2 linked regions of the Macaca mulatta genome follow. The protein of the gene in region 2 interacts with the protein of the main gene of each other region in a biochemical or structural test. Links are inferred from orthologs where the notes say so. Each region holds a gene or a part of one and is shown on either strand. Other genes may lie near its edges. The genes, in order: ACTR3 and CTTN.

The links.
Region 1: the proteins of CTTN (region 2) and ACTR3 form a complex in vitro, tested with the Homo sapiens proteins (3 studies listed by BioGRID). The link is inferred for Macaca mulatta from reciprocal best matches to the Homo sapiens genes CTTN and ACTR3.

What each region holds. Positions count from the first base shown.
Region 1 is NC_133417.1:23,658,826-23,662,642, reverse strand, and holds part of ACTR3 (actin-related protein 3), read left to right. Parts: intron 1-995; coding exon 996-1,139; intron 1,140-3,199; coding exon 3,200-3,373; intron 3,374-3,817. UniProt on the Homo sapiens protein: ATP-binding component of the Arp2/3 complex, a multiprotein complex that mediates actin polymerization upon stimulation by nucleation-promoting factor (NPF).
Region 2 is NC_133419.1:4,232,859-4,236,675, forward strand, and holds part of CTTN (src substrate cortactin), read right to left. Parts: intron 2,904-3,817; coding exon 2,726-2,903; coding exon of another isoform or gene 2,662-2,725; intron 2,380-2,661; coding exon of another isoform or gene 2,358-2,379; coding exon 2,286-2,357; intron 1,004-2,285; coding exon of another isoform or gene 977-1,003; coding exon 840-976; 3' UTR 436-839; exon of another isoform or gene 401-435; 3' UTR 1-400.

The sequences.
Region 1 (3,817 bases), on a different chromosome or scaffold from region 2:
CTGTTGGTTGTTCTGTCTACTTTTTTTAGAGGTTCTTTCTCTCACCTTGATGGTTTCCTCACAGGAATGTGCTGATCAGTATTCAGTTAAGGAGATATTCTCTTCACATCTTCCCAGCTCTCCGTTGGTGCAACTCCTTCCCCTCCAATAATTTGGCCTACAAACTTTAGCCACTTTTGCCTTTCTGACCTTTAAATTCTATATCCCTAACTTAATGAGACCAGTTCTGTTTTAGTTCTCTTTCTCGTTGTTGTGGCCTAGTAACTTTCCCTAGGCAGTAGGATAGAGTGTTTGTAACATTCACTTTATTTGTTTCCCTTTTCTTAGAAAGTATCTCTGCCCTACTCTGCCAATTGTCAAATGTCTGAAAACCTTTATTTCTTATAAAGTGTCCTTTATTTAAGTTGAGAGGGTGAGTTCAGTCCCTAATATTCTGTCATGGCCGCTGAAGGCATCCTTAATATTCTTTCCTAATGAAATTTAATTTTGCCACACTATTTGTTATACTTCTGACACATCAGTGAATTTGTGAATCAGTTCTACAGAATTTAGTTATTTGACATTATGGTGGTGTGTGGAAAGCTTCAGGTTTGTGAAATGGATACATACTTCATTAGAAAAATGATAGGCACTTTGTCAAATTTCTTATGACACATTCTAAATTATAATTACTGAAATTATAAATGATTTTAAAATAGTACTATCTGATATAAAGTCTGCTATCTAAACCATTTGATATTTCTATTTTGAAATTTACTGTTTCTGTGTTGTTATTTTAGTCATAGTTATAAATTGTCAATGGGAAAATAAATCTCAAGTTGCTGGCCATTCTTAGTTATTGTTTCTGATGAATAAAGGTGAATTCTGGGATAAAACAGTACTTGAGAATATGAATACACTAACTTGATAAATTGGTCTTTAATGGTTCATATTTTTAGGTTATATTAATTTTCAAAGCATTGAAAGTAAATTTGAAATCTTTTTCCCCCCTCTAGGCTGAAGGGTATGTGATTGGCAGCTGTATTAAACACATTCCAATCGCAGGACGAGATATAACATATTTTATTCAGCAACTGCTGAGAGACCGAGAAGTAGGAATCCCTCCAGAACAATCCTTGGAAACTGCTAAGGCAGTAAAGGTAAAAAGTGAGATAGAAGTGTAATTTAGTTAAAAATTAAAATCACATTTATAACATTAACATGAGAAATTTTTAATTGAAGAACAGTACTTAAAATAATCTTGTTAACCAGTTATAAATTATTACTCTTAAGTATATTTACATTTTCTCTGTATTTCTTGCAAGAAAATTATTATTACAAGTTTGTCTATTTTCTTCATATTTTATATTTGAGAGGAGTAATATATAAGAACATTTTACCAAATGACCTCTCCATAAATTTTTGTGATTCTCTTTATTAAAAATAATTATTTCACTGTAAAGTGCTTGCATCTCAATTTCTTCACTGAATTCTTTATTTTAATTTTAAAAGCTTTTGTCATAAAAATTATTTTGATATAATTGATTCATTGTGCTATAGTATAGAGGCAGTGTTAACTCAAGTGATAGGGCACATAGAAAAACATTAAGGCTATCTAAAGTATTTTTTAAATTTTTTCTGCCATGTAAGTATTATATCAATGCTTCATGCAAACTATCAAAATACTTTAACATCATCTTTCAAACTTACTATTTGCCACATAACCAAAAAATTTCAGTGGGTCTCACATGTTTTGAAAAGTAAAACTGCCCTGGCAAAAGTAACTTTTACTTATTTGTCTCTCTTTGCATGGTTTTTTTTTTCACTTATACATTTTTAAATTTTTTATTTCTTATTTTTATTGATTTATTTTTTATAGAGATGGGATCTTGTTCTGCTATCCAAGCTAGAGTGCAGTGGCACAATCATGGCTCACTGCAGCCTCAAACTTCTGGGCTCACGTGATCCTCCTGCCTCAGCCTCCTGAGTAGCTAGAACTGCAGGTGCATATCACCATGTCTGGCTAAGTTTTTGTAGAGATGGAGGTCTTGTTATGTTGCCCAGGCTGTTCGTGAACTCCTGACCTTAAGCAATCCTCCTGCCTCAGAATCTCAAAGTGCTGGCTGTGAGCCACCATGCCTGGGCCTCTTTGCATGTTTATGGGATTTTCCTTGCTCGTCAGAGCTTAAGAATGAAAATTTATCAACTACTTCCTAGGTAGTAAATTAGTAAAGGACTGCCAAAAGTTACCCCAAGTTGGTGGCATAAGAATTAAATATATAAAAAGTTAATGTGAATACTACTGATTCAACATCTTTGGGAAATCTGTAAAATTAAAGCAAAATGAGAAAACACCAGAGATTTAAATCTATTCCAGAGAAGATTGATGGTCAGTCTGAATGTCTTTAAAGGAGTATCATTTCTTGTCATTCCCACTTCTAAGGTTTGGAGAAGACCTCAAATAGTGAATCAAATGTCTTTCGTTTCCAGTATTTTTTCTCTTTGTGTATTTTGATTATTACTAGTAATATTTGCAACTATCTCGGATGGAGCCTGTGATGTATAAAAATACTGGAAAAGGAAGGCTTTTTAAAAATATATATATATAGGCTGGCAGTTGGGAGTTTATAAATTACAAATATGATGTTATAATCTATAATATATTTTTCAATGTTTTTGATAAAACTTTTACTTAGGTGTCATATAACCAAATATGCAACAAAATGGAGTAATTTATATTTTTAGCGTTCTTTCTTTGCTCATTTATTTACTCAGACTGTAATCAGTTTTGTTTCAGATATTAAGGATCTAATTAATTTGTGTGGTTATCATAATTATTACTTATTCCTCAGTTCTATATTTTATTTATTCTCCTTACGTAGAGCACGAGATTCATTATTACTGAGACAGAAAATGTTGAATGACATTAATGAACATTTTCAGGAAATAACACTGAAGTAGTAGAAATCAGCTCTCCAATCTCTCAAATATTATTTATATTTAAAGTCAGAAAATATGTGTAGGAGATGAGTATGTTTATTTGTACTACACATATGATAACATCCTAACATAAATTTTACTCCCAGCTTAATTTCCTAATTTTATTTTCTGAAGAAGTTTTTTTTTTTTTATTTGATTCTAGTTTACTGAAAACATGCCATTCTTTTTTACTGTTCCTGTAATAGGCAAAAAAAGTTACTTTTGTTTATTTGTTTTTCAGGAGCGTTATAGTTATGTCTGCCCAGATTTAGTAAAAGAATTTAACAAGTATGATACAGATGGGTCAAAATGGATTAAACAGTATACTGGAATCAATGCTATCTCAAAGAAAGAATTTTCTATCGATGTTGGTTATGAGAGATTTTTGGGACCTGAAATATTTTTTCATCCAGAGGTAAGTTTTTTTTAACGGAATTGTTTAAAAATATTCAGCAGCAAATATCAATTAATGGATATTCAGAGAGAATTGATCTCAAAAACTTTTATTAGTATACTAAAAACCGTTTGAATTTTTATGAAAAGTTTTATTTAAAAGTTTTATGAAATTTTTAAAGAAAAAATTTGCTTTTCTTTAAACAAGTGAAATTGTTGCTATTTTTTGTAGATTTAGAAAAAGCTTTTTTTTTTTTTTTTAAATATGGGGGCTTATGTGGGGGGGTCATGGGAAGAGGGGAGCCCTTAAACTTTTTTTTTCTTCCCTCAGTCGTGGACTCAGGTAAAGTTTTGTAATCATTTAAATAAAATATTTTGGGAAAGGTTATAGAAAGCTCCCCCCTCCCCATTTGTGTAAAATGACCATTTTACAAGGAACCTTCAATTGACCATTAAAACATAGAAC
Region 2 (3,817 bases):
GTGTGAAAAGAAAAGCCCAACGCAGACCTCAACTGCACTGTGCCAATCCAGAGACCTGCGGGGCAGGGAAAGATTTCAAGGACTTGGTGACGCTGCCCGGCAGGGGCAGAAGAGGCTCCCAGCAGCCCTCCCAGCGACCTGGGTAAGGGATGAGTAGAGATGAGGACGAGCCGGGGTGGGCACAGGAAAAAATCCAGGGTCTCTGCTAGAAGGCACCTGATCCCGTGGGCTGTCACGGTATGACACAGGCAGATTTCCCATCTGACGTGGCAGCTCCTGTGTTCTGGGTGACTTAGCTCCGTGTTAACCTCCAGCAGGCCCGCCCCTCTCCCCCCAAACACTGAGACTCTAGAGGGAGCCCTCGTCTGGGACAGTCCTTCCTGCCTACCCGCCACAGGGCCTGGGACAGTCCTTCCTGCCTACCCGCCACAGGGCCCACCTGAGGCCTCGTGCTTGTCGTGGGAGGCCCCGACTGCACTTGATGAGCACGAGGGCAACACGCACTCAAGAGAATGCGAGCTCCCTGAAGCTGCCGCGTGTGACAGTCAATTTGGCAAAAAATAAAACAAAAAAAACCCCATCAATCCATCAATGCATAAAACCAATTACCAAAGTCCTCCTAAGGAATGTGATTACAATATATTAGCAAATTCTGTGGCATAAACATTTTCAAAAGCATCAGCAAAAGTATTAAATATAAAAGCAATGTGTATATTCTCCTCCCCACCTTCAAAAAAAACCAAAAAAACCAAAAAAACCCAAAACCCAAGAACCAAAGAAGGCCTGATCTGTAGTGTGAGGGTCCGGGGCGCAGCTCCGGGGGCTGGGGGCTGGGGGCCCTACTGCCGCAGGTCCACGTAGTTGGCTGGGAAGAGCCCGTACCGGCCCTTGCACACCCCACGCCACCAGCCGTCGTCAATCATTTCGATGTTGGTGATGATGTCATCGGGGTCAAATGAGATCTCATCATCACCCGCTGGGGAAGAGAACGCAGAGAAAGGTGCTAAGTGCGAGCGTTTCCTGGTCTGCTAGAAAAGAACAGGGCAACCCAGAGCAAACTCCCAGGCAGCCTGCTCAGAGGAGACGCCCCTGCAGAGATGCACTGCGGAGGCTCCTGCTGCCTCTCTTGCCACCAAGGCCAGGATTTGTCAAGAACATGAGCCAAGTGACTACGGAGATGCCCAGAGCCCCTCACACAAAACACCCACCCCACCCGGACCCCTTCCTCAGGAGCAGGTTTCCACCACGTAACTCCAGCCCTGCCCGCCCTCCCTTCCCCTCTCTCCCTGGCAGACGTGTCTGTGGAGGGGGTGGGGAGATGGGCTGCCCAAGGCCATGGGGGTGTGGAGGCCACAGCAGAGGGACGGCTGGGGGACACCCGGAGAGAAGCCCGAGGTGATGGCTTAAATGGGCCTGGAGGGCAAAAGCCACGGTGATGAGAATCCACACACAGGTGCCGAGATGCCACAGACATATCCACACGTGTGCATGTAAACGCACGTGTGCAAAAGGGACTGAACGGGGACAGCCAGCGCTCACTTATGGTAGCATGCCAACTTCCGCACTGATGGAAAATTGCAAACGGGAAGCACTCAGAGGCAGCGGCCGGGGGTTCGGAAAGGAATCCTACGCCACCCATAAGATGCTTGTCAACTGCAGAGGGGTGGCAGTGGCTTTGTGGACCAGATGGTGGCTGAGACAGAGGGACAGGTGGACGCCACGCGGCACAGCAGGGAGCCCCACCACATGGTCTCCACGACCTCACTGCCACCAGAGCACGGCTCAGCCTGGCCCTGAGGGAACACAGGGCAGGCGGCTGAGGCCAGCCCAGGAGCTGAGGCTGCTCTTAAACTGCCAAGGCCGCAAAGGGAACTCAGGGGGACACGCTGGCCACATGGGAGCTGGCGGCCAGGACAGGACAGGCAGGAATGGGGCATCTGTGTGGCCCCCTCACCTGGAGGGTGGGGCATCCCTGAGGGACAGCGTCCTTGACCTTGGGAAACACGCTGGAGTCTTTGGGGCTGGCAGCACCCTTGCAGCTCTCCAAGGGTTCAGAGAATACTAAAGATAACGGGGTGGGTGCGTGTGTGTGCGGAGATGGAATCTGGGTAGGGAACATGGGAGTTCTTGGCACCATACCTGCTACTTTTCTATACCTCTGAAATTATCTCAACATAAATTATTTCTAAAACTAACAATGCTGGAGAAGTCAATTCTCAGGAAACAAGCACAGGCGGGTGCAGCCGCCCGGGTCTCCCCTCTGAACACTTTTGCGGGCCGCTCACCAGCCTGGTAGTCGTACAGGGCGACGGCTGTGATCCCCAGGTCGTTCTCGTACTCGTCGTAGGTGCTGTCCTCTAAAAGAAAGCCAGGACAGAGCTGAGCAACACAAAGTCCCACACAGGTTCCCAGCCTTCTCAAGTTTTAGACGACACTTCCCAAGATTCTGTCCCAAAGACACAGGACGGCCGCTGAAGCCCTCCCTTCCTCTGCCCTGCCCGCCCGCCCCCAGCACGACGGGGATCTTCCCGGGATGCAGCTCCGGAGCCGCTGCCCCAAATGTGTCTAGAGCACGTCCCTCAAGGGACAGAAAGACCCTGCAGCAAGCAGGCGAAGGCGGGTCAGCGGGAAACCCACCCACGCTCCTCGCAAGGACGCCACAGGTCGAGCAGGATGTCTCGGGAGCTCCCCACCGGGAAGGGCGCTGCAGCGTGGGGCCCAGTACCTGTGGGATAGTGGCCTGGGGCCTCTGTGCTTTCGTAGACAGCCTCTGTGGCGTAGGCCAGGCCCTGCTGGCTGCCGGCCTCTCGATAGTCAGCGGCCTCCACGCTGTACAAGGGCTCCGGCTCCGTCTCACTCACAGGGCCTCTGTAGCTCAGCTCTGCCTTGAAGGAAGCCGCGTCCTGGGGAAGGGTCACACGCACATGGCACGGGGCCCGTGTTGGCTTCCAGAGAGCAGCAGCTGCACTGCCACAGCCAGCAGAAACCCACAGGCCACCTAATTCTCAGTCCCAGCCAGGACTGAGAAAACAGATGTGGCACAGGAAGGCCAGGCCTGCTGGCATGTTCACCATGGTGGTGAGTGCGGGGAGGCCCACATGCCATTTCCTTACCGATGACTGGGTCCTCACCCCCGGAACACCCCAGTCCTGCAGTAGCCACGCCCACACAGCAGGTTAGGAGCCACGCCCCTGCCTGCGCTGTTGCCTGGGGGTAGAGCCCATCTTTGTTGGGTTAATTTGGCTGATTTCGAGGCACAAGGCACCCTGGGGCCGAGTGGCCACCCTCCTGCCCTGTGCTGCTCGACCCTGGCCCTGCCTGACAGCAGCTTCACCACATGGCTGCAGAGCGGCTGAGCCTGCAGACCGGGCTCTGCCCTAAACAAATCCTCTCTGCAGAGGGCAGTAAGGGCATCGCCGAAGAATCACATTCAACTACAAAGGTGCCAGCGGAACACCTCTTTATTTATAACCACCGCAGCTTCGGAGCCCTAACGAAAATCCCGACCCGCTTATCACCGATGCTGGCTTTAATCAGTGTTTCTGAGCAGGGTCCAACTGATGTCACCGGCAGTGAGAGAAAGCAATGCCAACAGCTCAGAAACGCGCACCCAGGAGATCCGGGAAGAACTGGTGGTGGAGCGCTGCTCGCCAGGGAGAGTGAGGGGCAGGGAGAGCGACTCCACCCTCAGCGCAGGCGCCGGGAGCCACGCAAGGGCCGAGCTGCACGGGACGGGCAGGGTCGGAGCTTCCTTGCGGCAGACGGCGCTGACTGCCAAGGGGAGGGACGAGAGGGGGAGGCTCGTTCCCGATGAGCT